Anolis sagrei: one gene and its partners. The main gene of each other region encodes a partner of the protein of the gene in region 2 in a complex. Links are inferred from orthologs where the notes say so. Each region holds a gene or a part of one and is shown on either strand. Other genes may lie near its edges.

Region 1 (7,546 bases), on a different chromosome or scaffold from region 2:
GCATGCACATACAGAGAGGGAGCAGTTACACTGGGGAATAAATGCAGTTTGGCCTCACTTTAGCTAATAGCGTAATACTATGGAATCATCAGAGCTGAAGTTTTAGAATGTCTTTAGCCTTGGCTGTCAGAGATTGCTGGTGCCTCCTTTGACTACAACTCCCATGATGCCTCAACCATGGAAGTCAAAGTGATGCCAAACTGTATTAATTCTGGGAATTTTAAGTGGGAATTTTATAATACTTATATATTTAAGCCTATTTTAATGTCCGTATATTTGTATATCTTTAAAATGTTATGCTGATGCTTTTATGTTAAGCCACTTTGAGTCCTTTTTGGGGAGATAAATTATTTATTTATTTATTTCTATCCGCTTTTCTTCTGGTTCAGGACTCAAAGCGGTGAACAACATATAGAAAGCAAAAACATAACATACAATAAAAGTAGACAGCACCGTCATAAACACAGTCATATCTAATTAAAAAATTACAAAAACCGACATCAACGTAATTAGTGACTAACAAAAAACACAATTAAACATTCAAAAGATTAAAAACCCTATCTGGTATCAATTTATTTAGGCCATAGTCAGGTCCATTTTGTGGTATAAATAAATAATTCTACAATGTAGAGCAGGCGTGGGCAAACTTCAGCCCTCCAGGTGTTTTGGACTTCAACTCCCACAATTCTTAACAGTCTATTGGTTGTTAGAAATTGTGGGAGCTGAAGTTCAAAACACCTGGAGGGCTGAAGTTTGCCCATGCCTGGTGTAGAGGCACCCATGCAGGACTGAAAGAAAAGCTCATGGTGGGAAAGGGAAGCTCTGGAACAGGGAAAGAAAACTGAAGACTGCCTAATCTTTCTTAGCCTCCTTCAAACAAAGATGGAATGATAGATGATAGATAGATAGATTTAGATTAGATAGAGTAAATAGATAGATTACATCAGATAGGTTACATAGATAGATTTGATAGATTAGATCAGGCATGGGCAAACTTCAGCCCTCCAAATGTTTTGGACTTCAACTCCCACAATTCCTAACAGCCTTAGATAGATAGATAAGATAGATACACAGACAGATAGATAGATAGAGAGATAGATCAGCTAAACAGATTAGATAGACAGATTATAGATAGACAGATTAGATAGATCAGATAGACAGAGTAGATAGATATATTAGATAGATTATAGATAGATTAGATAGATTAGATAGATCAGATAGATAGATTAGATTGAAAGATAGATTAGATAAAACAGATTATAAATAGAATAGAATAGATAAATCAGATAGATAGATAGATTACATAAAAGATAGATTAGATAGACAGATTACAGATAAGATTACATAGATAGATCAGATGGAATGATAGATTAGATAGATAAACAAATTATAGATAGAATAGAATAGATAAATCAGATAGATAGATAGATAGATAGATAGATAGATAGATTAGATAAAAGATATATTTGCTAGACAGATTATAGATAGATTAGATAGATTGATCAGATATAGATCGATAGATAGATAGATTAGATAGATTTGATACATTAGATCAGGCATGGGCAAACTTCAGCCCTACAGATGTTTTGGACTTCAACTCCCACAATTCCTAACAGCCTTAGATAGATAGATAAGATAGATAGATCAGATAGATAGATAGATAGATAGATAGATTAGATAGACAGATTATAGACAGAGAGATTGGATAGATCAGATAGACAGATTAGTTGGATAGATTAGATAGGCAGGTTATAATTGATAGAAATTAGATAGATAGATAGATCAGGTAGATAGATTAGATAGACAGATTTTATTTATTTATCGTATCAGGAGCGAACCAAACAGTTGTACTGCATTAAAAACAAACAAACAAACAAAACGCAAAGTTTGCAGATAGACAGATGATAGATAGGTAGACAGATAGATCAGATAGATCAGATAGCTAGATATGGATGAACCAGTGCCAGGGAAGGGCAACCTGCACTCCAAGCAAAAAGTCAGTTTCCAAGAAGGCTAACTTTTCTTGACACAACTCTCTCCCCTCCCTCCTGCCAGATGGACCTTGAATGCAGGTCTCCTCGCAACAAGAGCAGCAGATGCTTCCATTCAGAAGGGGTTTTTCCTCTCGGTTCAGAAAGGAAAACCCAAGTCCTCATCCCTGAGCAATCCCTTCCTCTTCCTCCTCCTCCCTCTCTATAAGTTGGAGAAGCTTTCCTTCAAGCCCAAACCCGAGCAACCGAGGAGGGAAGGAGGTCTGGGCGGGCAAAGGCGGGCATGGATGCAGCTGGAAGTGCCCCAGCTCAAGGCGAGGAGTAGGGCACTGGCTTTGCTGAAGGCGCCTCTTCCGAAGGTTCCCCGGCCATGAGCCACGGCAGACACAAGCGTCCAGAAGAGCAGGGGAAAGGGGAGACCCAGAGGGAGAGGAAGCACCCGAGAGAGAGAGAGAGATTGGGAGAGAGAGAGAGAGAGAAGCTACTTGCCCAAGTGGGGACGAGGAGGCTGTCGGGCCGGTCCGGCGCTTGCCCCGGAGGAGGGGGAGGAGACGGCTTCCCCGCCACGTTCATGTCCTCCCATGCAGCTGGGTTAGAGTCCCTTCTGATCGGCGAACTCGGCTAGAGTCGGGCCAGGCATTGAAGCTCCCTCCCCGCCTCCCTTAGAAGTAACAAACGCAATGATTCCCTCCGAGAGAGAGAGAGAAGGAGAGCCAGGAATTAGGGCCGAGCAGGGCTCTCCAGCATCCTCTCCTGCCTCTGCTCCACGCGTGCCTCGCTCACTGAAGAGGAGGAGGAGGAAGAGGAGGAAGAGGGAACGCTAGGTGGGGATGGAAAGGAGGTTGGCAGGGTCCGTCCGCGCGCGAGGAGAGCGCGAGGGAGGCTGCGGACCTCCCTCTTGAACTTCTCCTCTTCCTCCTCCTCTTCCTCCTCCTCGCGCTTCCCTTGGGAGGATGCTGCTGCTTTCCCCCCTGTTTCTAGTCAGATCTGCTTTCTCGCGCGCTTTCTCGCGCTTCTCTCCTCGGGGGGCAGGGGGGTTAACATGTGGACGCTCTGAAGCAGGCATGGGCAAACTTCGGCCCTCCAGGTGCTTTGGACTCCAACTCCCACAATTCCTAACAGCCTATCGGCTGTTAGGAATTGTGGGAGTTGGAGTCCAAAGCACCTGGAGGGCCGAAGTTTGCCCATGCCTTCTCTGAAGGAAAGAGGGTCTACTATGTGAGGTGAAGACACACACACCACTTCGAGGGAGACACACACACACACACACACATTGTACATACACCCATTCACATTATTATTACTAAGACCTACAAGCCACTCTAAACACATTCACAGAAGCATAAGAGAAGCTTGGCCTGTCACTGAACATCAAGACAACCAAAGCGCTCTTCCAGCAGTCACCAGCCAATCCCTCTCCAATGCCAGAAATACAGTTTAATGGTGTAACATTAGAAAATGTTGACCATTTCCGCTACCTTGGCAGCCACCTCTCCACAAAAGTCAACATTGACACTGAAATACAACACCGCCTGAGCTCGGCGAGTACAGCTTTTTCTGAATGAAGCAGAGAATGTTTGAGGACCGGGACATCCCTAGAGAGACCAAGGTGCTTGTTTATAAAGCTGTTGTTTATGAGTACCTATAAAAACAAGGAAGAACCAGAGTCTTACTGGAAGATTAGTACTGGAAAATTTATCTTAACAAACATTAAGGGGAAATATTCGACAGGAAGAGGAGCCGCAATTAGAAATGAAGAAACAAATAAAGAGAAGGAAAAGAGAGGAACATCGGAAGGAAGATTGGGAAGTCAACATCCCACCCCCCCCCCTTCACATCACCCTTGTCCCTTCACAACCCTTAATCCACACACCCCTCTTTTTTTCTCCCTTCCCTCCCTCTTCTTTTTTCCCTCCCTCCCTCCCCTCACCTCCATATCCATACCCAACACTTCTCCCTATTATAAGGAAACTTCAATAATGAATTATTTTTTTAAAAAAAATAAAGCTATTGTCCTCCCAATCCTGCTACACGCTTGTGAAACTTGGACAGTCTATAAACGTCACATGCAACTCCTGGAATGATTCCATCAGTGCTGCCTCTGGAAAATCCTGCAAATATCTTGGGAAGACAAGTGGTCAAATGCCAGCATGCTGGAAGAAGCAAAGACCACCAGCATTGAAGCGATGACCCTCCACCATCAACTATGCTGGACCAGCCATGTTGTCCAGATGCCCGACCACCATCTATCAAAGCAGTTGCTCTACTCTAAACTCAAGAACAGAAAATGGAATGTTAGCAGGCAGGAAAAGAAATTTAAAGGTGGGCTCAAAGCCAATCTTAAAAACTCTGGCATAGACACTGAGAACTGGGAAGCCCTGGCCCTTGAGCGATCCAACTGGAGGTCAGCTGTGACCAGCAGTGCTGCAGAATTTGAAGAGGCATGAATGGAGGGCGAAAGAGAGACATGTGCCAAGAAGAAGGCACATCAAGCCAACCCTGACCAGGACCCCTTCTATCTGGAAACCAATGCCCTCACTGCCGGAGAACATGCAGATCAATAATAGGACTCCACAGTCACCTACAGACCCACCACCAGTACACTGATCTTGGAAGACTATCCTACTCAGACAACTAGGGATCACCTAAAAAAAAACATTATTATTTATTTAAGATACAAGTTTGGATACCCAGCGTTGCCCAGGTTATTTGAAAAAGTCTATTTTTAATTGTACAAAATGAATAAGGTTGTGTGTGAACTACAACTCATATCATGCTAGGTTAGCCCTGAAAAATTCCATCAGTACTTAAAGTTTGTTATGTTGGGCAAGTTTGTTCTAGACCTGTGGTTTTCAACCTGTGGATCCCTAGATCTTTTGTCCTTCAACTCCCAGAAATCCTAACAGCTGGTAAATTGGCTGGGATTTCTGGAAGTTGTAGGCCAAAACACCTGGGGACACACAGGTTGAGAACCACTGCTCTAGATACATCATTGGTGGGGTTCGTTGTGCTCTCTGGCTGTAGGGCAAACTATGGTAGTTATCCAGAAAGTAAGGTTACAAGTTGCAGGGGAAGTTGGTATCCCCGCCGTGTAGTGGGAAGCTAGCAGAAGCGAATGAGCAGTGCTAGTCGTCAGGGGCCTTAGGATCAAAGAAATGCGGTACACGCACATACACATATACATCTCATCCTATGGGTATTTGGGACTCCAACCCCCAGAAACCCTAGCCAGTTTATCCAATGACCAGGAATTCTGGGAGCTGAATCCCAAAACACTCGGAGGGCCACACGTTTTGTAGGCCTCATCTACATGCATATATACATGTGTATATATATTATAAACGTGTATACATTGGTGTGGGTACAAACTCTGACAGTTTGCCATTTAGAACCCTTCAGCATGGAGATTTGAAGAAGCCTCACAATTTCCCTCATCCTCAAATCACCTCTGTGGTGCACAAGCCCACACTGAAACACACCTGCATGATTTTCACAAAAAAAAAAAAACCCAACCAAAAAAAAACACATTGAAACATAACGAGGTCAGGCATGCTTTATCCAGAATTCTGAATTCAGAAATATTCTAAAATTGACAATTGTCCTCATGGGTGGCTAAAATAACAACATGTTTGCTTTCTTGTACACTGTACACAAACTTTGTTTCCTGCACAAAATAATTAAAACAAATTGGGCTTAAAACTACCTTCAGGCTAGGTGTATATAAGGTGTATATAAAACATAAATGAATTCCATGTTTAGACATGGGGCCCATCTCCAAGATATCTCATTATGTATATATATGCAAATGTAGGTATTCTAAAATCTGAAATCCTAAACATTTCTGGTCCTCAAGCAGTTCAGAGAAGGGATTCTATTACTTTCAGTGTGAAGCAATCTGGTCTTCATATTTTAGGAGGGCAAAACTACTTCAAAATGTAAAAACCTGTCATTCTTCGAGGCATCTTTCTTGCACAAAATTTCATCCCTTATAATTCCCTATTAGAAGGATGGATGGGGGAGAGGAGGTTGGGGAGATGCGAGGAACAGATTGGAAAATGACACTTGCTTGAAATTGCATTGTGGATGTGCTTTGAAAGTTTCAGTTAAAATAGTCCTAAGTAAAAGAAAGCTTAACTGTTTGAAGGAGAGATGGGCCATACATGGAATTAATTATTAAGAAGGATGAGTTTGTGCTTGACACTTGATGAATAAAAACCACCCTGTCAGATTGAACATCATAGATAGAGCGTTAGGATCATGTGTGTTTTGGGGGGCTGCCACTATTGGGAAGCTGTGGTCAAGACATCTGGAGGATGACTGTTGCCGTACCCCCCCCCCTTTCATATTGTATGTCATTAGCTGAAATGTAATAATTTTAGTGACTCCAGCCCATTCATTGAGTAAATATGTATATGTGTCCTTGTGAATTGGCCTTTATGTATCCTGCTATTGCTTCACAATAACTAATTGAAATCAAATACTGTATAGTGTGCCTCCTGTATCTACAAGGAATATGTTCCCAAACTTCATGTGGATATACAGAACTGTGGATAATAGTGAACCCTAATGAAAAAAAGGACTTTCAGCTGCAGGATACTATAGAGTCATGCTGGAGGAAATTAGAAAATGTCTAAAAAGGACATGGACATTTTGTTGGACATGGATAGATGAAACCATGGATATTGGTACAACAGATATTGGGGGGGGGGGGGGGGTTATACTGTAATTCAATTTCCCCTGCAAACTGCCACTAAAAATATATCAGAAGCCACTATTTTGAAAATCTGATTAATGTTATTTGCATAGGCATTATTCCCAAACCTGGCCACAGTTATGAATATTGAAGTACCATCCTGTTAATCAGAAGAAGGCAATGGTAAACCACTTGTTGCCTTTTTTTCATTAGGGTTTTCCTGCTTTGTGGCAAATTAATGCGTTTTTACGTGAGGTGTTGTTTGGATTCCCCACATAAAAATCCAGAATGGCACACATTTTCCACCCTGTATGGATGTGCCCAGAGTCTCATAAAGAAATGTGCAAATTTATTTGTCTACAGCCTAATTAACAACAAAGGAATACTTCTAAGTATTGGTCTAAACTGAACGGATAATTCTTCCTAGAGTAAACCCACTGAAATTTCCCCATTCTTGTTTTCTGTCAATTATTTGATTTTGTGCCAAACATACCAAATACTATTTAGTTTAATCAGAATCCTGTTGGGGAGTTATGAATGCATAACCTGGAGTTATGCATTCATAACAGTGTGGTATTCACTGCCTCTACATAAACGCTAAAGTGTTTGAGGACCGGGACATCCGTAGGGATACCAAGGTGCTTCTCTATAAAGCTATTGTCCTCCCAACCCTGCTATATGCCTGTGAGACATGGACAGTCTACAGACGTCACATGCAACTCCTGGAACGATTCCATCAGCGCTGCCTTCGGAAAATCCTGCAAATCTCCTGGGAAGACAAGCGGACAAACGTCAGTGTGCTGGAAGAAGCAAAGACCACCAGCATTGAAGTGATGGTCCTCCAACATCAACTCTGCTGGGC
Region 2 (7,751 bases):
TTCCTTCCCTTCTTCCTACCTTCCCCCATTTTCTTCCTCTTCTGCTTTCTCTTTTCTTCTTTTTCTCTTTCCTTCTTTCCTTCCCTCCTTTTCTACATCTTCCCACCTTCCTTCGCTCCCTCTTTCTTTCCTTGTTTCCCTTTTTTCTTTCCGTCTCTCCTTCCTTCTCCTTTTTTCTTTCCTTTCTTTTCCTCCTTTTCTTCCTTTTTTTCTGTATTGTCATGTAGCTTTTCATCATTTAGCTTTTTGGGACTTTTGTTTTTTGGTGTTTTTATGAGTGAAGGACATACATTGGGTTGTTAATGTATTATGTCCAAATTTGGTGTCAATTTGTCCAGTGGTTTTTGAGTTCTGTGAATATCACAAACGAACATTACATTTTTATTTATATAGATGTGTTTGTGTGTGTTTAGCTGGAGTTACACTTAAGTGGCTGAGGGGGAAAAGGAAGGGGCCTGAGGCTGTTAGGAATGGTGGGAGTTGAAGTCCAAAACACTTGGAGGGCCAAAGCTGGCCCATGCCCGAGATATATATGTGTTTGTGTGTGTTTAGCTGGAGTTACACTTAAGTGGCTGAGGGGGAAAAGGAAGGGGCCTGAGGCTGTTAGGAATGGTGGGAGTTGAAGTCCAAAACCCTTGGAGGGCCAAAGTTGGCCCATGCATATGTATATGTGTGTGCATGTTTAGCTGGAGTTACACTTAAGTGACTGAGGGGAAAAAGAATGGGGTCTGAGGCTGTTAGGAATGGTGGGAGCTGAAGTCCAAAACACCTGAAGGGCTCAAGTTGGCCCATGCCTGATACATTTGTGTGTGTGTGTGTGTGTGTGTGTGTTTAGCTGGAGTTACACCTAAGTGGCTGAGGGGGGAAAGGAAGGGGCCTGAGGCTGTTAGGAATGGTGGGACTTGAAGTCCAAAACACTTGGAGGGCCAAAGTTGGCCCATGCACTATATATATATATATGTGTGTGTGTGTGTGTGTGTTTGTGTGTGTGTGTATGCGCGTGTGTTTAGCTGGAGTTACACCTAAGTGGCTGAGGGGGAAAAGAATGGGGTCTGAGGCTGTTAGGAATGGTGGGACTTGAAGTCCAAAACACTTGGAGGGCCAAAGTTGGCCCATGCACTATATATATATATGTGTGTGTGTGTGTGTGTGTTTGTGTGTGTGTGTATGCGCGTGTGTTTAGCTGGAGTTACACCTAAGTGGCTGAGGGGGAAAAGAATGGGGTCTGAGGCTGTTAGGAATGGGGGGACTTGAAGTCCAAAACACCTGAAGGGCTCAAGTTGGCCCATGCCCGATATATATATGTGTGTGTGTCTGTGTATGTAGCTGGAGTTACACTTAAGTGGCTGAGGGAGAAAAGAATGGGGTCTGAGACTGTTAGGAATGGTGGGAGTTGATGTCCAAAACACCTGAAGGGCTCAAGTTGGCCCATGCCTGATATATATATATGTGTGTGTGTGTGTGTATGTTTAGCTGGAGTTACACCTAAGTGGCAGAGGGGGGAAAGGAAGGGGCCTGAGGCTGTTAGGAATGGTGGGAGTTGAAGTCCAAACACTTGGAGGGCCAAAGTTGGCCCATGCCATATATATGTGTGTGTGTGTGCGTGTTTAGCTGGAGTTACACCTAAGTGGCTGAGGGGAAAAAGGAAGGTGTGTGTGTGTGTGCGCGTGTGTTTAGCTAGAGTTACACCTAAGTGGCTGAGGGGGAAAAGAATGGGGTTTGAGGCTGTTAGGAATGGTGGGAGTTGAAGTCCAAACACTTGGAGGGCCAAAGTTTGCCCTTGCCCAATATATATATATATATGTGTGTGTGTGTGTGTGTGTGTTCAGCTGGAGTTACACCTAAGTGGCTGAGGGGGAAAAGGAAGGGGCCTGAGGTTGTTAGGAATGGTGTGAGTTGAAGTCCAAAACACCAGAAGGGCTCATTGGCCCATGCCACACACATTGGCCCATGTGTGCGTGTGTGTTTAGCTGGAGTTACACTTAAGTGGCTGAGGGGGAAAAGAATGGGATCTGAGGCTGTTAGGAATGGTGGGACTTGAAGTCCAAAACACTTGGAGGGCCAAAGTTCGCCCATGCCCCTAAGTGGCTGAGGGGGAAAAGGAAGGGGGCTGAGGCTGTTAGGAATGGTGGGAGTTGAAGTCCAAAGTTGGCCCATGCCCGATATATATATATATATGTGTGCGTGTGTGTGTGTGTGTGTGTTTAGCTGGAGTTACACCTAAGTGGCTGAGGGGGAAAAGAATGGGGTCTGAGGCTGTTAGGAATGGTGGGACTTGAAGTCCAAAACACTTGGAGGGCCAAAGTTCGCCCATGCCCCTAAGTGGCTGAGGGGGAAAAGGAAGGGGGCTGAGGCTGTAAGGAATGGTGAGACTTGAAGTCCAAAACACCTGAAGGGTTAAAGTTGGCCCATGCCTGATATATATGTGTGCGCGCGTGTGTGTGTATGTTTAGCTGGAGTTACCCTTGAAGAAATGTACCTGTTCTGAATTACGTACATATGCAACTTAAGCACAACCCTTGTTTGTAACCTGGGGGCTCCTTGCCCCTCTCAATGAGCCAGGCAAGGCTTTCCAGTTGCTCAACTCTTTCCAAACCCAGGAAGGTAGGCAGGCAAGGAGGACGCCAGGGCTCTTACAGGGAAGGACACGATAGGGATCGATAGGGTCGATGCAGAGGGTCGGGTTACTCTAATGACGGTGGAGGGAGGGGGGATAGGAGAGGGAAGGGTCCGGCCTGGCGGGGCCTTGCTCCCGGGGGTCCGCGGCGCCCCCTCTTCCCTCCCTCCGTGCTTGCCTACCTCGGCCTCGTCCAGCTCCATGTCCACCAGCTCCATGTTCCCCTCCGGCCAGGGCTCGGCTCCCAGCTGCGCGAGCGGCATCGCGGCGGCCTCTTCCTCCGAGCGGGAGCCGCAATGCCTGCCTGTCTTCCCGCCGAAGCTGAGGGAGAGAACGAAGCTGCTCTCTTCTTCCCGCCAGACCGCAGCGTCTGTGCGGAACTCCTGCTGGAAGGAGGGGATAAGTCTGGGAAGCCACGCCCACCGTCCGCCCAGAGGCGGGGCCTAGAGACTCAGGCATGGGATGTCATGCCCACCGCCCGCCTACAGGCGGGGCCTAAGTCTGGGAAGCCACGCCCACCCTTTGTCAAGAGGCGGGGACTACAGACTCAAGCTTGGGAGGCCACGCTCACTGTCCTTCAAGAGGCGGGGCCTAGGGGCTCAAGGCTTGGAGGACACGCCCACCACCATCTCAAACCTGGAGCGCCACTCCCACAGTCCTTCAAGAGACTCAGGCTTAGGACGCTTCAAAAGGCTGTGGGCTTGGAGGACACGCCCACTATCCTTCAAGAAGCTCCGGCTTGGGAGGCCACGCTCACCATTCGCCTACAGGGGGAGCGCCACGCTCACATTCCTTCAAGAGGCGGGGCCTACAGCTTTGAGGACACGCCCACCGCCATTCCAGAGGCGGGTCCTAAGGCTGGAGCGCCAACCCACAGTCCTTCAAGAGGCGGGGCCTAATAGCTCAGGGCTGAGAGGCCACGCCCACTGCCCGCCCACAGGCGGGGCCTAGATTTGGAGCTACTTCCAGATTCCCGCCAAGAGGAGGCGCCCAGCCCAGGCAACCATGAGGCCAATGGGTTGTTGTAGGTTTTTCCGGGCTATATGGCCATGTTCTGGAGGCATTTTCTCCTGACGTTTCGCCTGCATCTATGGCAAGCATCCTCAGAGGTAGTGAGGTCTGTTGGAAGTAGGAAAAATGGGTTTATATATCTGTGGAATGACCAGGGTAATGTTTCAGCTGATCACCTTGATTTGCATTCAATGGCCTGGAAGCGCCTGGGGGGAATCTCTTGTTGAGAGTGAATTGATGTGCCTGATTGTTTACTCTCTGTTGTTTTGCTGTTGTAATTTTTGAGTTTTTTAATACTGGTAGCCAGATTTTGTTCATCTTCATGGTTTCCTCCTTTCTGTTGAAATTGTCCACATGCTTGTGGATTTCAGTGGCTTCTCTGTGTAGTCTGACATGGTGGTTGTTGGTGTGGTCCAGCATTTCTGTGTTCTCAAATAATATGCTGTGTCCAGGTTGCTTCATTGGGTGCTCTGCTATGGCTGATTTCTCTGGTTGAAGCAGTCTGCAGTGCCTTTCATGTTCCTTGATTCGTGTCTGGGCAATGCTGCGTTTGGTGGTCCCTATGTAGACTTGTCCACAGCTGCATGGTATAAGGTAGACTCCTGCAGAGGTGAGTGGATCCCTCTGTCCTTTGCTGAACGTAGCATTTGTTGGATTTTCTTGGTGGGTTTGTAGATTGTTTGTATGTTGTGTTTCCTCATCAGCTTCCCTATGCGGTCAGTGGTTCCCTTGATGTATGGCAGGAACACTTTTCCTCTGGGTGGATCTTCATCTTGACTCTCGTGGCTTGTTCTTGGTCTTGCAGCTCTTCTGATTTCTGAGGTGGAGTATCCATTGGCCTGTAGAGCCCAGTTGAGGTGGCTCAGTTCATCTTGGAGGCCAATGTTGGACTGCACCTTCCAGCATCCACCAGGAGAAGAAGCCTAAAGCTGCACTGCCACCCCCCTAAATCCCCCATAAGGAGGAGAAGGGGGACCCCAGGGTAAGGCTGCCACTGGCCCTGGGGTCGAATTGCCAGCTCCAGGAACTTCTCAGGAGCCCAAGGCTGAACTGCCACTCCCAGCAACCTCCAAGAGAGGGGTCTCCTGCAGGGTTCTGGGATTTGTAGTTTAGTCAAGCCTGGGGTTTCTGTGGCTGGGGATTTTTAAGGCTCCTCCCTCACCAGCAAATCCCAGGAGTCTGCAATAGGCAGCCTTGGGATTTAAAGTGGGGAGTCCACTCCTGAAAGCAGGGGTCCTCAAACGTTTTGAACCAAGGACCAAATCAGACTGCTGGGTTCCAGCTTGAAAAAATGGAATGAATTCCTCAGCACAGTGCACTTGTTTTGTAGTGCAATGCAAGAAAACCATGAAAGAACAATCTATCTTCTATCTATATATATATAAATGCTCTGTGCATAATGAGTACCTTAAAAATAAAAGAACCAATGAACAAAATCACACCAAATTTGACAACAAAATGTTTCACAATCCAAGGAGTGACCATCACTCAAACAATTATGATTTTGTCATTTGGGAGTTGTAGTTGCTGGGATTTACAGTTCACCTACAATCAAAGAGCATTCTGAACTCCATCAATGATGGAATTGAACCAAACATGGCACACAGAACTCCCTTGACCAACAGAAAGGGTTTGGTGGGCATTGACCTTTGGTGGCCATTGACCTTGAGTTTGGGAGTTAACCCACAATCAAAGAGCATTCTGAACTCCATAAACAATGGAATTGATCCAAACTTAGCATGCCGAACTTGTGTGACCAACAGCAAATACTGGAAGGGTTTGGTGGGCATTGGCCTTGGGTTTTGGAGTTGTAGTTCACCTGCATCCAAAGAGCACTGTGGACTCAAACAATGATGGATCTGGATCAAACTTGGTACAAGCACTCAATACACCCAAATATGAACACAGGTGGAGTTTGGGGTAAATAGACCTTGACATTTGGGAGTTGTAGTCACTGGGATTCAAAGTTCACATACAAAGAGCATTCTGAACCCCACAAACAACAGAATTGGGGCAAACTTCCCACACGGAACCCCCATGACCAACAGAAAATACTTAAGGCTATCCAATCCAACTCCCTTCATCAGGGCAACAAAACGTAATCAAAGCCCTCCAGACAAAGAGCCATCCAGCCATAGATATAGATGGATGGATAGATAGATAGATAGATAGATAGATAGATATGATTCACACACACACAGATATAGTATCATAGATTTCAAAGGGACCCTTAAAGAAGGACAATGATATATTGCATGTTCCAGGATGGGCAAACCAGACACTCTCCACATCAACACTGACAAAGAAACAGCAAGAAATATTGTTTACCCACAAGCATAAAGAAATTACATATATTAGAAACCACCACTTTCTCATTACTTTATTTTCCAGATCAACAGACTGGGTCACAGCAATGCATGGCAGGGGACAGCTGGATTTCAATGGCTTCTCCAACAACCAACATGTCAGACTACACAGAGAAGCCATTGAAATCCACAAGCATGTGGACAATTTCAACGAAAAGGAGGAAACCATGAAAATGAACAAAATTTAGCTACCAGTATTTAAAAAACTCTAAAATAAGAACAGCACAACAACAGAGAGGAAACAAACAAGGACATCTAATCACCTCTCAACAAAAGATTGCTCCAGGCACTGCCAAGCAATCAAATGCTAATCAAGGTGATCAGTTGAAACATTCACACCTAGCTCCAACAGACAAGAGTCCTTTCTCCCACCCTGGTCATTCCACAGATATATAAACCCTTTTTCCTAGTTCCAACAGACCTCACTACCTCTGAGGATGCTTGCCATAGAAGCAGGTGAAACGTCAGGAGAAAATGCCTTTAGAACATGGCCATATAGCCCGAAAAAAGCCTACAACAACCATAAAAAAGATGCAATACAGTTTTAGGGAGTTATAGCTACTACTGTTTCGTTCTCGATGATCTTGAACTTTGCCCAGTTCCAAACCTTCAGAAAGGGCTTTTAATAAAAAAGAAAAGGAAGAAATCATATATTTATTTCGGTGCTCTTGATGAACTATAAATTTTCCCAAGAGGGGCAGATTTACTGTGGCTCAATAACAGAGATCATCCTTGGAAAGAGTTCTGAGATCCCTGGTTTAACTGCTGGGAAATCAACAAACTAGAGGTCAAGTGTGTCAACTGCAAATAGAGGAAACAGTTTAAAACAAATCATTCCTTTTGAATTACTCCAAAGGCACAAGGCAGATAGTATATCTGTTGCCTAGTTGTCAAGGTCATTCTTGGTATTATGAAGAAGTTAATGGCCAGCGTCCACTGAGTTAATGGGACAGACACGTGCCTGCAAATGCACCCCAGAACAGCTTTGGGGAGAAGCACGAAACTGTTCTGTTCCATTTCCACCCCTTCATTAATCGCTTGGATTATCTCAAGCTTCAATCTCTAGCAAACTGGCACATTGACAATACACCTGACAACGATAATGGAGAATTCAAGCATTTGAAGCTCAGTTTGAATCACAAGTGAAATCCTGATGCACTTTGATTCAGCACAGTGCCAGAAAGACGAAGCAGGTAAACAGATCATAAAACACAGATGATTATGCAAACGTCTCCAACCTGGCACTCTTCCAGTGACGGTGGACTACCACTCCCATCATTTCACCCAGCAGGCCAAAGGCTGGATTAGTATGGATGTAGTGTGCTTAGTGGGTATTTCTCTTGCTTATTGTTACCAAAGTGAATAAGAAAGGTTTTCTTGGCAGAACTTAAAGCCTATTCATTCTATTGATTTACTGCATATGATCATAAAAGCAATGGCAGGATAAAAACATTTGAAATAGATATTACCGCTGCTGTTAATAAGTTACAACTGATGCCAATTTTCCAATGCTCTTGGGCCTCTAGGGTAAAACCTTGGCATTGCTCCAAGTGTTTTAAGTTGGGTTGGGTTGATTTGTCTATTCTGTTGTTTTGCTGTTTCTCAAATTGATTGTTTATTGTGATTTTGTTTGGTATTTTAATCATAATAGTATCTATTTTCCCATAGTTGTGACATACCACTTTGGTTATTTTTATTTATTTATCGTGTCATCAGCAGCCAGACATTTGTATTACATTTTTAACAAAAACAAGCAA
Region 3 (7,025 bases), on a different chromosome or scaffold from region 2:
GCAGCCCAATCCTACAAATTATTTTATGCAGAGAAATTCATCTCTACAGCATCAAGCTACAGCTGCAAATGCTCTTTTTTAAATGTGCTAAGTGGAATACATTGAGATGACAGATAAATGCCTATGATTGGCTGCAAATCTGTTTAAAAAGCTGCTTTAAAAAGAAAGCTTTGCAGAATAAATATCAGAAGGAAGCCTAATGTAAAAAGGCAGTTTTCAGTTTGGGAGAAAAATATGGAGGGGAACTAGGGAAGGGGGAAGTTTGCGCAAATTCACAGAATATACCTTCTTCCTTTGTGGCTTCATTCCCAAGGCCATGTGAAAGAGAGTTAGGCAAGCGAGCTCATTTACTGAAAGAGGGCTCTGCAAATCTCAGTGTTTCCAGTGTGACAGATTTGTCACACTGATAGGTCTCGGGATAAAAGAACCACAACTCTTCAGGCCTGCCTCTTCTTCCTACAGATTTTTTTTTAAGCCCATGCATGTGCACAACACGGAAAATGAGAATCAGTGACTTTCTCTGTGTTGCTGTGAGTTTTCCAGGCTGTATGGCCATATTCCAGAAGCATTCCCTCCTGATGTTTTGCTTATATCTATGGCAGACATTGTCAGAGGTTGTGAGGTCTCTTTGAAATTAGGCAAGTGGGGTTAATATATCTGTGGAATAATGTCCAGGGTGGGAGAAAGAACTCTTATCTGCTTGAGATAAGTGTGAATGTTGCAATTGGCCACCTTGATTAGTGTAGTGTTGAAGGATTTCATGACTGGGTTGTTGTGACTTTTCCAGGCTGTAGGGCCATGTTCCAGAAGCATTCTCTCCTGATGTTTCACCTGCACCTATGGCAGGCATCCTCAGAGGTAGTGAGGTCTGTTCAATTTATTGCTGAAGGCTTTCATGGCCAGAATCACTGGGTTGTTGTGACTTTTCCAAGCTGTGGGGCCAAGTTCCAGAAGCACTCTCTCCTGACGTTTCACCTACATCTACAGCAGGGGTCCCCAAACTAAGGCCCAGGGGCCAGATACGGCTCTCCAAGGTCATTTAGCCAGCCCTTGCTCAGGGTCAACCTAATTCTGAACCAACTTAAAAGCACACAACAACAACAACAACAACAATCCTATCTCATCAGCCAAAAGCAGGCCCACACTTCCCATTGAAATACTAATAAGTTTATATTTGTTAAAATTGTTATTCATTTTTATTATTGTATTGCTTTTAAGTGTTTTTTGCACTACAGATAAGATGTGTGCGTAGGAATTCATTCATGTTTTTTTTTATTTCAAATTATATTCTGGCCCTCCAAGAGTTTGAGGGACTGTGTCCTGGCCCTCTGTTTAAAAAGTCTGAGGACCCCTGATCTAAAGCAAACAGCCTCAGAGGTTGTGAGGCCTGTCAAATGTATTCTCGAAGGTTTTCATAGACAGAATCGCTGCATTGTTGTGACTTTTCCAAGCTGCTGGGCCATGTTCCAGAAGCATTCTCTCCTGATGTTTCGCCTTCATCTACAGCAGGTATCTTCAGAGGTTGTGAGGTCCTGCATGGGCATACAGTCTGGAAAATTCACAACATTCAACCTTGATTAGCACTGAATTGTCATGTAGCTTCAAAGCCTGGCTGGTTTCTGCTTGGGGGAATTCTTTTTTGGGGGGTGGGGGAGGTGTTAGCTGCCCTGATTGATTCTTGTCTGGAATTTCCCTGCTTTTTTAGTGTTGCTCTTTCTCTGTGTTTTGAACACACTGTGCTTAGTGGGAATTTGGGACCACCTCCACCACAATCCTGCCAAGGGTCCTAAATGCCAAGGGACAAAGTCATACAGAGCACATTAGCAACATCAAAGGCAAGAAGAAAGAGCCACAATGTGGGGATCCCAACCCCCTGGGCAGTACATAACTGAGGCAAAGAAATCCAAGGGCGGGTGACTCAATGGGAGGTGGGGAATGTTTAGCAGATGAGTTCGCCTCTCTTGTCAAAAGCTCCAGGGAAACACAGGGTTTCAGGGACCTCAAGCTATTTCCAAAGCCAAGGCTTTAAAAGGCTCCTGGGTGCTGAAAGAAGAGTATGAAACAGAGCTGAATAGACAGTGCATGCCGACAATTGTGTGAGTGTGTGATGAGCGACTTCAGAAAACTGCAAGTCGCTTCTGCTGTGAGAGAATTGGCCGTCTACACCACGCCCGCATGTTTTGATGTTTTACCCTCCTTGTGGGAGGCTTCTCTTACGTCCACGCATGGGGAACTGGAGCTGACAGGGGGAGCTCATCCACACTCTCGGTCTTCAGTCCCGAGGGCACACTGTTTAACCCACAGTGCCAAAGGGGGCTCCAAACGACACCCATGACATAGATTCATTGCGCGCCCTGTACCCCAGCAAAGTCTCCTCATTAAAGGAATCAATCAATCAATCAATCAATCAACCTGCATCCTCGTCATGAGAGGCCGATCTCCCTCCCTCACTTACTTGCTGGCGGGCGCTGCAACGCCGGGCTCCTCAACTCCGTCCGAACCGCCTCTGGAAACTTATTTCCCTGAATTATTTCCAAGCCGAGTCAAGGGAGCGAAGCCGGGGCAGGAGGCGCCACCTTCTCGCCTCCCAGCGCGGCGTCCATGGCTCCAAAGCGGGTCTGGGAGGGGTGTGGGGGGAGGAGGGAATGGGTGGGTGCGTGGGGGGCTGCCAAGGGACTCCAAGAGACAGAGAAACAAACGGGGAGAGAGAAGCGGCGGCTTTACTTCGCGGCGTCCATCCGAAAACGGAAGAGGAAAGACGGATGGGGGGGGGGGGTGAGACAGCGAGGCTCAGCCTCTTAGCGGGAGGAGGACCGCGAAAAAGAGGGGCCGCGGCTCCCCACGCTGGCGACGTAGTCCGGAGGCGTCGTGCTCCATGGCTGCGGGCTTCGAGCTGGATCCAACGCCAAGGAGAGGCTGGGTCTCTCCCGCCTCGCCTCTTCCCACTGAGCGCGCCTCCTTCCTTCCTTCCTTCCTCCTCTCCCTCTCAATCTCTCCCTCTGCTGCCTCCTCCTCCCCCGGCAGCAGCAAGAGGAGGGGGCGCAGACGCGCGTGGCTTTGGCACGCCTGAGTCTCTGCAGGTGGAGCCGCCGCTCGGCGAAAGGAAACGCGGGGAAGCGCTTTGGGGGAAAGGGATGAGGACTCTTAGCCGTCCGCGAGGGAGAGCTTCAGCGGGAGGCCGGAAGTTTCCCGGGTCTGGAAGGCAAGCCCTCTGAGAAGCGCCTCAGTGTGAGTTCAGCTTCGAGAACAGAAGGCTGAGAGAAAGGGAGAGGAGAGCCATGTTTACATATGACACATAGAGGACGGGGCAAGCTTGCTTTCTGCCGCTCTGGAGACTAGGACACGGAGCAATGGATTCAGACAAGTGTCTCAGTGAGCTCTGTAGGTTCAGCTTCGAGAAAAGAAGGCTGAGAGAAAGGGATAGGAGAGCCATGTTTACATATCTCACATGGAGGAGGGGGCAAGCTTGGTTTCTGCTGCTCTGGATTCAAAGGGTAGGCAACTTCTTGAGGGTAAGAACTTGAGGGTAAGAAGAATATGCTGCCTAGCCTACCCAGAGTGTGGTGGAGTCTCCTTCTCTGGAGGTTTTTAAGCAGAGGATGGATGGGCATCTGTCCGGAGCGTTTTAGTAGTGTGTCTTTTGGGGTCTATTCCAACTTTTATGTTTCTACTAGAGAATGAATCCACTTTAAATCCGGTTTCTGCCTTCTGCAAAATTCTGGGTTTTATAGTTTGGTTTAATTTACACACACACACACACACACACACACACACCCCGCGTGGCACACTGGGTTAAACCGCTGAGCTGCTAAATTTGCTCCTACGGGAAGATAACGACGCTCCATGTAGTCATGCCGGCCTCGTGACCTTGGCAGTGTCTACAGACAACGCCGACTCTTCGGCTTAGAAATGGAGATGAGCACCAACCCCGAGAGTCAGACACGACTGGACTTAATGTCAGGGGAAAACCTTTACCTGAAACTGTTAAAGGTTTCTCCTCGGAATTCTGCAGGCGGCAGTAACCGGATTTAAAGTGGATCCCTTCTCTAGTGGGATGAGGCCCTAGGGCGCCACTGGCAAGCACCCAGTCCAGAGCTGGGTGCTTGCCGACCAGCTCAGGGTTTCGGAGGAAGGAACTGGGGGGAAAAAAACTCCCGAGGCTCCCTGACCGAGAGAGATTCGCCACAAATCCAAGCGGGTGACTTGGAATGAAAGCAGACCTCCGGCAGTCAACGCGGCTTGGAAGAGCTTCCCCGTCGCCCTCCCCGCTGCGCTTGCTTTGCCCGTTGGAAGAAGCGTCCGGCTGCAAGGAGATCTGCAGGGAATCAAAAGCAGAAGCGACACAGAAAGCGAGCCCTGGCCAGCCCCAGAATTGCTCAGCTCACGAAGGGGAAGAAGCAGACTCGGAGCAAAGCCAATTCAGGACTTTGGCGTCTTTCAGAAGTCATGTGTTGCTCCAAGTTGGGTTCTCTTCCTGCAGTTCGAGGGATTTTTTGGGGGGGTGGGGGGCATCCGAGGGACGTGGGGTCCCTAGTACTTAGGTATTTCTTGGCTTCCAACGAGGAAGGGGAGGAGGAGGAGGAGGGAACCGGACTTTAACAGGGACTTCACAACATCGCTGGAGAAAAGATCCTACATAAACCCCATTTTCCTAGTTTCCAACAGACCTCACTACCTCTGAGGATGCCTGCCATAGATGCAGGCGAAACGTCAAGAGATAATGCTTCTGGAACATGGCCATACAGCCCGGAAAACTCACAACAACACAGATCCTACATTTCTGACTCCCAACAGCCCCTATTCTCTCCCCTTTCCCAGAGTACATCCGAGCCCTCCCGAAGATCCTTTGGTCATGATTTGGACCCCAATTCCTGATTTGGGACATTCTCACCGAATCAGCTTGTCCAGCGAATAGTGGGTGACAGCGAGGATCAAATCCCATCCCAGGAGGAAAGGAGGAGTATACATTCAATAAAGTACTGAAATGCAATGCCACCCCGGCTCATCACCCCAGCCCTTTTCCAGATTTCAAGCCAAAGGGAACATTGGAAGCCCTCGAGCAAGGGAAAAGTGTGTTGTCGAAAGCTTTCGTGGCTGGAATCAGTGGGTTGCTGTGAGTACGAGCTGTATGGCTATGTTCCGGAAGCATAGGAAACGTGTTTGATCACTGAGCCTGCAGGATGAAGTGCTGAACTTAAAGCCAAGACAGTTCTCAGTGGTCCATGAGCGAGAAGCACAAACAAGAATCACTACAACACAACAGTGTTTTCTTGCATGGCGGGGGTCGGACTAAGTGGCCCTTGTGGTCTCTTCCAACGCTATAATTCTGATCTTTAAAGAGAAGCACTCCCACTACAAGGACCTTGGACCATCCTTGCTTCTCCTCTTCCACTCTCCTGCTGATGCTGATGACAACATCATCCCTGCGCATTCAGAAGAAGACCTTCAAGCCACTCTAAATACCTTCACAGAAGCATATGAGAAGCTCGGTCTGTCATTGAACATTGAGAAAACCAAAGTGCTCTTCCAGCAGTCACCAGCCAATCCCTCTCCAATGCCAGAAATCCAGCTTAGTGGTGTAACATTAGAAAATGTTGATCATTTCTGCTACCTTGGCAGCCATCTCTCAACAAAAGTCAACATTGACACTGAAATACAACATCGCCTGAGCTCTGTGAGTGCAGCTTTTTTCTGAATGAAGCAGAGAGTGTTTGAGGACAGGGACATGGGACATCCGTAGGGTGATTGTTTATAAAGCTATTGTCCTCCCAACCATGCTAAAGGCCTGCGAGACGTGGACTGTCTACAGATGCCACATGCAACTCCTGGTGATTCCATCAGAGTTGCCTCCGGAAAATCCTGCAAATCTCTTGGGAAGACAAGAGGACAAATGTCAGAGTGTTGGAAGAAGCAAAGACCACCACCACTGAAGCGATGGTCGTCCGCCATCATCTCCGCTGGACAGGCCACATTGTCCGGATGCCCCACCATCTCCCAAAGCAGTTGCTCTATTCCAAACCCAAGAATGGAAAATGGAATGTTGGAGGGCAGGAAAAGAGATTTAAAGGTGGGCTCAAAGCCAACCTTAAAAACTCTGGCATAGACACTCTGGCCCTTGAGTGCTCTAGCTGGAGGTCAGCTGTGACCAGCAGTGCTGTAGAATTTGAAGAGGCACAAATGGAGGGTGAAAGAGACAAACGTGCCAAGAGGAAACCAATACTCTCACTGCGGGAGAAGATACAGATCAAGAATAGGGCTCCACAGTCACCTAAGGACCCACCAGTACACTGACCTTGAAAGACTATCCTACTCGGTCAACGAGGGATCACCTAACTGGGAACCAAACCCTGCTATATCTACCTGCTTAACAATGACTTCTGTGCCTCAAGCAGACAAGCGTTCTTTCCCCCACCCTGGACATCCCACAGATAGATAGACAAACCCCACTTACTTTGCTTCCAAGAGACCCCTCAACCTTAGAGGATGCCTGCCATAGATGTGGGCAAAACATCAGGAGAGAATGCTTCTGGAACATGGACATTCAGCCCGAAAAACTTACATCTGACATCTGTTTTATAGTAGGACTGGTGGATTTCTGTTAGCAGCATTTTGTTTTCCTTGGGCCCCAAAGTGAGAGAAAGATGGTGTGAAACTCAACCATTAAAAAAAACTTAAGGCCAGAACCAGCCTTCCCATTAAGCAGAACAAGTCCATGACACTGTCCTCTTCTGCAAGGCCTTCTTTGTCGCACATGCCCAGCATCCCATCACCCTTTTCTCTCCCCCTCCTTCATAGATTGTTACCTCCCTTCTTTGCAACTTTCTGTCTCCCACTATCACCATCCTTCCCTCCCTGCTCTATTCCAAGCAGTGCCACTTGCAACAAAGCCACTTCTCATGTTGTATGCAGAGCTGCCATTATTAGGAGCGGAAGAGTATCAGAAAAGTGGAAGAGAAGGGCTGATCCAGGATCTCTCTTCCCAGTCATCACATTTCTCCCCTATTTCCAAGTCACTGCTTCCTCAT
Region 4 (6,976 bases), on a different chromosome or scaffold from region 2:
AGATCCTGGGGCATACGGTCTGCATGGAAAGGCCCAAAATTGCCACCCAAGGCCCCATGGTGATTGAGGAAGACACCAGGAATGCAAAGCCACACAAACAAATAAAGGTGCAGCACTATTGTAGAATGTAAGCAGTTTGGCACCACTTGAATGCTCTGGAATCAGAGAAGCTGCAGTTTTGACAAGGTCTTCTGCCTTCTCTGCCCAAGAGTGCCAGTAACTGACTAAACTACAGCTCTCAGGACTCTTCAGAACTGAGCCATGGCAAGTAAAGTGGGGTCAGTGTGTTGTTGAAGGCTTTCATGGGTGGAATTACTGGTTGCTGTGTTTTCTTGGCTGCATGGCTGTGTTCCAGAAGCATTCTCTCCTGTCATTTTTGCCTGCATCTATGGCAGGCATCCTCAGATGTTGTGAGGTCTGTTAGAAACTAGGCAAGTGGGGTTTATATATCTGTGGAAAACTCACAGCAACCCAAAGTGGGGTCAAGCTGCATTTATCTTGAGAGACCCTCAAGAGAGGGAAGTGTGAATACTGCAGTGGAGCACCTTGATTAGCATAGAATAGCCTTGCAGATTCAAGGATTGGCTGCTTTCTGCCTGGGGGAATCCCAGGTCAATGGATACTCCACCACAGACATCAGAAGAGCTGCAAGACCAAGAACAAGGCATGAGAGTAAAGGTGAGCAAGGTGATCAATTGCAGCATTCACACTTCCCTCCAACAGTCACGAGTTCTTTCTCCCACCCTGAGCATTCCACAGATATATAAACCCCACTTGCATTGTTTCCAACAGGCCTCACACACTCTGAGGATGCCTGCCATAGATGCAGGTGAAATGTCAGGAGAGAATACTTCTGGAACATGGCCATACAGCCCGGAAAACTCACAGCAACCCAGTTATTCCAGCCATGAAAGCCTTCAACAACACATTGTTGAAGGCTTCAATAACACATTGACCCAACTTTACTTGCCTTGGCTCAGTTCTGTGGAATCCATACAGCCTCACAGCAACCCAAAGTGGGGTCAAGCTGCATTAATCTTGAGGGGTCCCATGAGAGACCCTCAAGAGAGAACTCAAGAGAAGGGACTGAACTCGAAAGAGAACTCATGAGAGGGAAGTGTGAATACTGCATCTGAGCACCTTAATTAACATAGATCAGCCTTGCAGCTTCAAGGCTTGGTTGCTTCCTGCCTGAGGGAATCCCAGTACAGTGGATCTCCCAACCTCTGATGATGCCTGCCATAGATGCAGGAGAAATGTCAGGAGAGAAGGCTTCTGGAACATCGCCACACAGCAACCCAAAGTGGGGGTCAAGCTGCATTCATCTTGAGGATGCCTGCCATAGATGCAGGCGAAACGTCAGCAGACAATGCTTCTGGAACAGGACCATACAGCCCGGAAAACTCACAGCAACCCAAAGCGGGGTCAAGCTGCATTCGTCTTAAGGGGTCCCACAAAAGACTCCAAAAAGAGAACTCAAGAGTAGGAAGGGTGAATCCTGCAATTCAGCACCTTGATTAGCATAGAATAGCCTTGCAGCTTCCTGCTTCCTGCCTGGGGGATCAATTGCAGCATTCACACTTGCCTCCAACAGTCAAGAGTTCTTTCTCCCGCCTCATGAGAGGAAAGTGTGAATCCTGCAATTGAGTGCCTTGATTATCATAGATCAGCCTTGCAGCTTCAAGGCTTGGCTGCTTCCTGCCTGGGGGATCAATTGCCGCATTCCCACTTGCCTCCAATAATCAAGAGTCCTTTCTCCCACCTCATGAGAGGAAAGTGTGAATCCTGCAATTGAGCACCTTGATTAGCATAGAATAGCCTTGCAGCTTTGAGGCTTGGCTGCTTCCTGCCTGGGGGAATCCCTGGTCAATGGACCTCCCAACCTCTGAGGATGCCTGCCATAGATGCAGGAGAAACGTCAGGAGAGAAGGCTTCTAGAACATGGCCACACAGCCCAGAAAACTCACAGCAACCCAAAGAGGGGTCAAGCTGCATTTGTCCCATGAGAGACCCTCAAGAGAGAACTCATGAGAGGGGAAGTGTGAATCCTGCAATTGAGCAACGTCAGGAGAGAATGCTTCTGGAAGATGGCCATACAACCCGGAAAACCCACATTAACTCAAAGTGCATCCGTCTTGAGGGTCCCACGAGAGAGGGGGGACTGCCGCCCAAGGAACCGCAGCGCCTGAGGCAAGCACAGGGAAAGAGCAACCTCGAGCCCCATCTACTCTGACATAGAGTTCAACACCGTCCGGACCCACACGGGATCATGTAACGCGGGCTGAGAGAGGGAGCCAAACGGGAGGGTGCCGGGTCGTGTACCTTGTCTGACGGCCTTGAGGAGGATGGGCTCCTTGCAGCTGCGGAGGAGGGCCAGGACGTCGTAGCGGGGCAGGCCGGAGACGGGCAGCCCTTGGACCTCGAGGAGGAGCTCCCCTTCGCCCAGCGGGGCTGCTTCTCCTCCTTCGCCTTCTCCTTCCCCGCCGGCTCCTTCCTCCTGGCCGTCGGGGCCGCCCACGTAGGCGAACTCGCCCTGCTCGGCGCCCCCCAGGACGGTGAAGCCCAGGCGGGCCCCTCGGCGCCGGATGGCCACTTGGTGCACCTTGGCCGCCCAGTGGTGCTTCCTCTGGAGCACTTTCGACATGGCCAGCGAGGCAGAGAGAGAGAAAGAGACCGAGAGAACGAGAGAGACGGGGGAGCCTTCCCGGGAGAACTTTCCCCTTCAAGCCATCACTGCGCAAACTTTGCCCGACGCCTCTCCGCAGCCTCCTCCAACAACATGCTGCTTTGGCTCCCCGCGGTCCCTTCCTTCTCCCCTCTTCTTCTTCCTCCTTTCCCGAACTGTAATCCTCGGCTCGCTTTTCCCACGCTCTTCTGGCCCCGACCTCTTCTTCTGGGCCACTTTGGCCACCTCTTCTTCTCTTTCCTGCCCGGCTCTTCTGGCCCCGACCCGCCGCGGCTCCTTTAAGCGCCGACAAAGCCGACTCTTGTTTTGTTACATTGCGCTCCTCGTCGAGACAAGAGGGGGGGGGGGGCAGGCGAGCGATAGGAAGCGGTGGCGCATGCGCACAAGGGCACTCCCCGCCTCCCTTCCCAGCCAGGCTCTTCCTCCTCCTCCTCCTCCTCTTCCCAGGCTTTTCCGCGCTCCCTTTTCATTCCTGGACAGGAATGAAGAAAAAAAACAAAACCTCTCAGACCAGGACAGTCAGTAAAGAACAACGCTCAGAACAAGAGGGGAATTCCAGACAGGAAACCAGCAATCAGGGCCAGCTAACACTTCCCAAATAATAATAATAAAACTTTATTTATACCCCGCCAACATCTCCCCAAGGGTAAGGTAAAGGTAAAGGTAGTCCCCTGGCATTATGTCCAGTCATGTCTGACTCTGGGGTGTGGTGCTCATCTCCATTTCTAAGCCGAAGAGCCGGCGTTGTCCGTAGACACCTCCAAGGTCATGTGGCCGGCATGACTGCATGGAGCGCCGTCCCCAAGGGTACAACAATGCAAATAAACAACATACAGCGACAATAAAATATAAAAATAAAATACAAAAAACAATATAAATAAGCACATCAAACAATTTAAAATCACAATAATTAAACACTGAAAATCAATCCCAATGGACAGGATCCAAATAAAGGATTCCCTCCGCCCAGGCAGGAAGCAGCCAGGCTTTGAAGCTGCAAGCCTATTTAATGCTAATCACGGTGGCCAATTGCAAAATTCAACTAAAACAGACAAGAGTTCTTTCTCCTAGGAAACAACTAACACCTCCCAACAATCAGGGCCAGCTAACAACTCCCAAACAAAGGATTCCCCCAGGCAGGCAGTAGCCAGGCTTTGAAGCCACAAGGCTATTCAATGCTAATCAAGGTGGCCAATTGCAACGTTGAACTAAAACAGACAAGAGTTCTGTGTTCCGGGAAACAACTAAACACCTCCCAAGAAAGGATTTTCCCAGGCAGGAAACAGCCAGGCTTTGAAGCTGCAAGGCTATTCAATGCTATTCAATGCTAATCAAGCTAGCCAATGGCAACATTCAACTAAAGCAGACAAGAGTTCTCTCTCCCAGGAAACAACTGAACACCTCCCAACAAAGGATTCTCCCAGGCAGGAAGCAGCCAGGCTTTGAAGCTGCAAGCCTATTTAATGCTAATCAAGGTGGCCAATTGCAACATTCAACTAAAACAGACAAGAGTTCTTTCTCCTAGGAAACAACTAACACTTCCCAACAATCAGGGCCAGCTAACACCTCCCAAACAAAGGATTCCCCTAGGCAGGCAGCAGCCAGGCTTTGGAGCTACAAGGCAACTCAATGCTAATCAAGCTGGCCAATTGCAACATTTAACCAAGGAAACAACACCTCACAACAAAGGATGCCCCCATGCAGGAAGCAGCCAGTCTTTGAAGCTGCAAGGCTATTCAATGCTAATCAAGGTGGCCAATTGCAACATTCAGCTAAAACAGACACGGGTGCTTTCTCCCAGAAAACAACTGTTTGGCAGTGGAAGAAGCTGCCTTGGAGCGTGGGGAAGTCTCCTTCTGTAGAGTTTTTAAACAGAGTAGAAGTATATGAAAATAAACATTGTTTCCTTACAATTTGATTTGTATCATTCCAAAAACTATTTTATTGTACAGCTCATTATTATTTATATTGGATATATATTTATTTTTATTGTTTATATTTATTTATATGTATATATTTCACGTGTGTGTGTGTAAACTAAAAACCTGGCTGTGGAACCAAGCTTTCAAAGAGTAGCACAGTGCAAGAGGCAGCCATGAAGTGACTGTAACACAATTGGAATGACTCCTGGATCATGACTTTGGATCTTGTGTTGTTTTAATAGTTTATTTTAGTGTATTGATTTGTCATAATTTTTAATGATTTTTTAAACTGATTTTCATGTATGGTATATGTTATTCTTATATGTTTTTGTTTGTTGTGGCATTGAATTATTATCAGCTTGGAAGCTGCTCGGAGTCTCCTTCGGGGTGAGATAGAGTGGGGTAAAAATACAGTAAATATATAAATTGGCACCAAAATATTTTCAGGACCTCCAAAGTTCACCCAACCCTAGTTACACCATAATGACTTCTTAAAAACTGTGCAGTATAAAGTTATAATTTGTTATAGAAATATTATCTTCAGTGAGGTATAGCCACAAAAGCATTTCACATGATCCCTGTTTACATTATCGTCTTGTCAATATCCCTACAAGGAAAAAACATCATGCTGATTTACTTTTTGAACTTTCTAATGCGCATGTGCTTAAGGCAGGGCTGTCATTATTACCCAATTACAATGACACTTGGAACTGCAGGGAGTTGTCTGCATGCACTGTTGTGTTTGCTGCTGCTGGGTTTTTTAATAGTTGCTGATTTTGTCAACTTTTGTGGCATTTTACCTATAATATTGTAGTGCAGTCTGATATGGGAGGAGGTCCATGAGAGTGACACTGTGTGTTATTACACAAAGTGACACCAACTCGAATGAGTTTATCCAGTTCAGGGGGGCATCTGCTTTGTGGCCTTTCTTCCAGGGCTGTTGCAAATCTATTTGGCATGAACAACCTGAAAAAAGTGGCTTTTAGGGGATTTTTAAAAAACCATACCCGCCTCAAAGTTGCTATGAATCTTACAGCAGGGTCAATGCAGGTTGGAAAAAAAGTGGTGCTGTACATATTGTTTTCATTAATATAGAAAATCCATTATAGGTACTACTAATAATAATAACAATAATAATAATAATGCACTTTATTTATATTCTACTTTATCTCCCTGAGGGGACTCGGAGTAGATTACAGTATCCACATATATAGGCAAACATTCAATGCTTTTTGTGATGGCATGCCCGAGCCTTTGGGAAAACTATATTGTCTGGCTTTACTTGGGGGCTATCTATATACCTTCGGTTAAGATTAAGACCCTTAGCAGACAGAGGCACTTTAGGTAAGGTGAAAAGATAACCAAATGTGTTTACTGAAACAAGATGAATAAAGGGTTAACTTCACCCGGGACTATCATAACAATACATTACAAAATGAGATTTTGCTGGCTGCAGTCAACTCTCTGGAATCTTTGAAAGTCTTTTGGCTCTGGTGTAAAGCACTGGATTATAAATTGTTGCTTGCAGTCTGTCTTAATCTTCTCTCCTGTGAAGTTTAGGCTGACCAAAAGCTTCTGTTGTCCTTTGGACTGCTGGTATAAAAATACTGCTAAATGCAGCAGGTGCTAAGAATGCCTGTTTTGATTGCTCAGGCCTAGGATACCAGACAATGTCCCAAGCCACTGTTCTCTGCTGCAGAAAAAAGGAGGAGTCCAGCAAAGGAGCTCTATACAGGAAATGGAATAGACCAACTAAGGCTGGTCACTAGGGGTTTTTATGCTCCACCCAAAAACTAATACAAAGGAAGTTAGAATATTGTGGTGGCCTATAAACAGAGGAAACTAAAGCAGAGGAGAGGAGAAGGCAGAGCCAAGACTGCACACCTTTTATATAGTAAGCAATGACATACAATACACAATCAAAGGCAAAAGTTTCCCTTTCCATCTCCAGCATCTGGAGGCAATGCTGGACTCTGGCCATGGGGAGATGCTCTTGTTCCATTTTCCATGTCAAGGAGCCTGTTGTCCGTAGACCATCCTGGTCAAGTTTGCTGGCATGGGTGTCTTTTACCTTCCTGCCAAGGTGGTATGTATTGATCTACTCACATTATGTGTTTTTGAACTGCTAGGTTAGCAGGAGCTAGCACGGCTTTGAACTGCCAACCTTTTGGTCAGCAAGTCTTTCTGCAGCTGCCGGCAGGCCCGTAGCCAGGATTTTGTTTCAGGGGGGGGGGGGGTTCAGTTTGGTTCGGGGGGGGGGCTGAGTCTGAGTGAAAGAGGGTCTACCCTAGCAAACCTTTTATATCATTACCCCAATACCCCCATGCATATGGGATATATTGAGCATGGTGATCAGATCATGATATGA

What was found.
Region 1: the proteins of RPS6KA1 (region 2) and SNTG2 are in contact, whole or in part, in a crystal structure (PDB 7QQL), measured with the Homo sapiens proteins. The link is inferred for Anolis sagrei from reciprocal best matches to the Homo sapiens genes RPS6KA1 and SNTG2. Residues at the interface, in NP_002944.2 of Homo sapiens: Pro731, Ser732, Thr733, Thr734, Leu735; in NP_061841.2 of Homo sapiens: Gly82, Gly83, Leu84, Gly85, Leu86, Ser87, Ile88, Lys89, Gly90, His94, Ser101, Lys102, Phe104, His134, Val138, Leu141, Arg142.
Region 3: the proteins of RPS6KA1 (region 2) and SNTG1 are in contact, whole or in part, in a crystal structure (PDB 7PC8), measured with the Homo sapiens proteins. The link is inferred for Anolis sagrei from reciprocal best matches to the Homo sapiens genes RPS6KA1 and SNTG1. Residues at the interface, in NP_002944.2 of Homo sapiens: Arg728, Lys729, Leu730, Pro731, Thr733, Thr734, Leu735; in NP_001274742.1 of Homo sapiens: Gly67, Phe68, Gly69, Leu70, Ser71, Ile72, Lys73, Gly74, His78, Ile80, Ser85, His118, Glu119, Val122, Leu125, Arg126, Arg141.
Region 4: the proteins of RPS6KA1 (region 2) and MAGI1 are in contact, whole or in part, in a crystal structure (PDB 5N7F), measured with the Homo sapiens proteins. The link is inferred for Anolis sagrei from reciprocal best matches to the Homo sapiens genes RPS6KA1 and MAGI1. Residues at the interface, in NP_002944.2 of Homo sapiens: Pro731, Ser732, Thr733, Thr734, Leu735; in NP_001028229.1 of Homo sapiens: Arg480, Gly481, Phe482, Gly483, Phe484, Thr485, Val486, Val487, Gly488, Asp490, Lys499, Ser500, His532, Val536, Phe539, Gln540.

The regions. Positions count from the first base shown.
Region 1 is NC_090021.1:120,627,275-120,634,820, forward strand, and holds the start of SNTG2 (gamma-2-syntrophin), read right to left. Parts: upstream 3,016-7,546; 5' UTR 2,565-3,015; coding exon 2,481-2,564; intron 1-2,480. UniProt on the Homo sapiens protein: Adapter protein that binds to and probably organizes the subcellular localization of a variety of proteins. May link various receptors to the actin cytoskeleton and the dystrophin glycoprotein complex.
Region 2 is NC_090034.1:73,338,772-73,346,522, forward strand, and holds the start of RPS6KA1 (ribosomal protein S6 kinase alpha-1), read right to left. Parts: upstream 3,005-7,751; 5' UTR 2,881-3,004; coding exon 2,800-2,880; intron 1-2,799. UniProt on the Homo sapiens protein: Serine/threonine-protein kinase that acts downstream of ERK (MAPK1/ERK2 and MAPK3/ERK1) signaling and mediates mitogenic and stress-induced activation of the transcription factors CREB1, ETV1/ER81 and NR4A1/NUR77, regulates translation through RPS6 and EIF4B phosphorylation, and mediates cellular proliferation, survival, and differentiation by modulating mTOR signaling and repressing pro-apoptotic function of BAD and DAPK1.
Region 3 is NC_090024.1:52,402,661-52,409,685, forward strand, and holds the start of SNTG1 (gamma-1-syntrophin), read right to left. Parts: upstream 3,021-7,025; 5' UTR 2,456-3,020; intron 1-2,455. UniProt on the Homo sapiens protein: Adapter protein that binds to and probably organizes the subcellular localization of a variety of proteins. May link various receptors to the actin cytoskeleton and the dystrophin glycoprotein complex.
Region 4 is NC_090022.1:35,422,838-35,429,813, forward strand, and holds the start of MAGI1 (membrane-associated guanylate kinase, WW and PDZ domain-containing protein 1), read right to left. Parts: upstream 3,020-6,976; 5' UTR 2,645-3,019; coding exon 2,323-2,644; intron 1-2,322. UniProt on the Homo sapiens protein: Plays a role in coupling actin fibers to cell junctions in endothelial cells, via its interaction with AMOTL2 and CDH5. May regulate acid-induced ASIC3 currents by modulating its expression at the cell surface.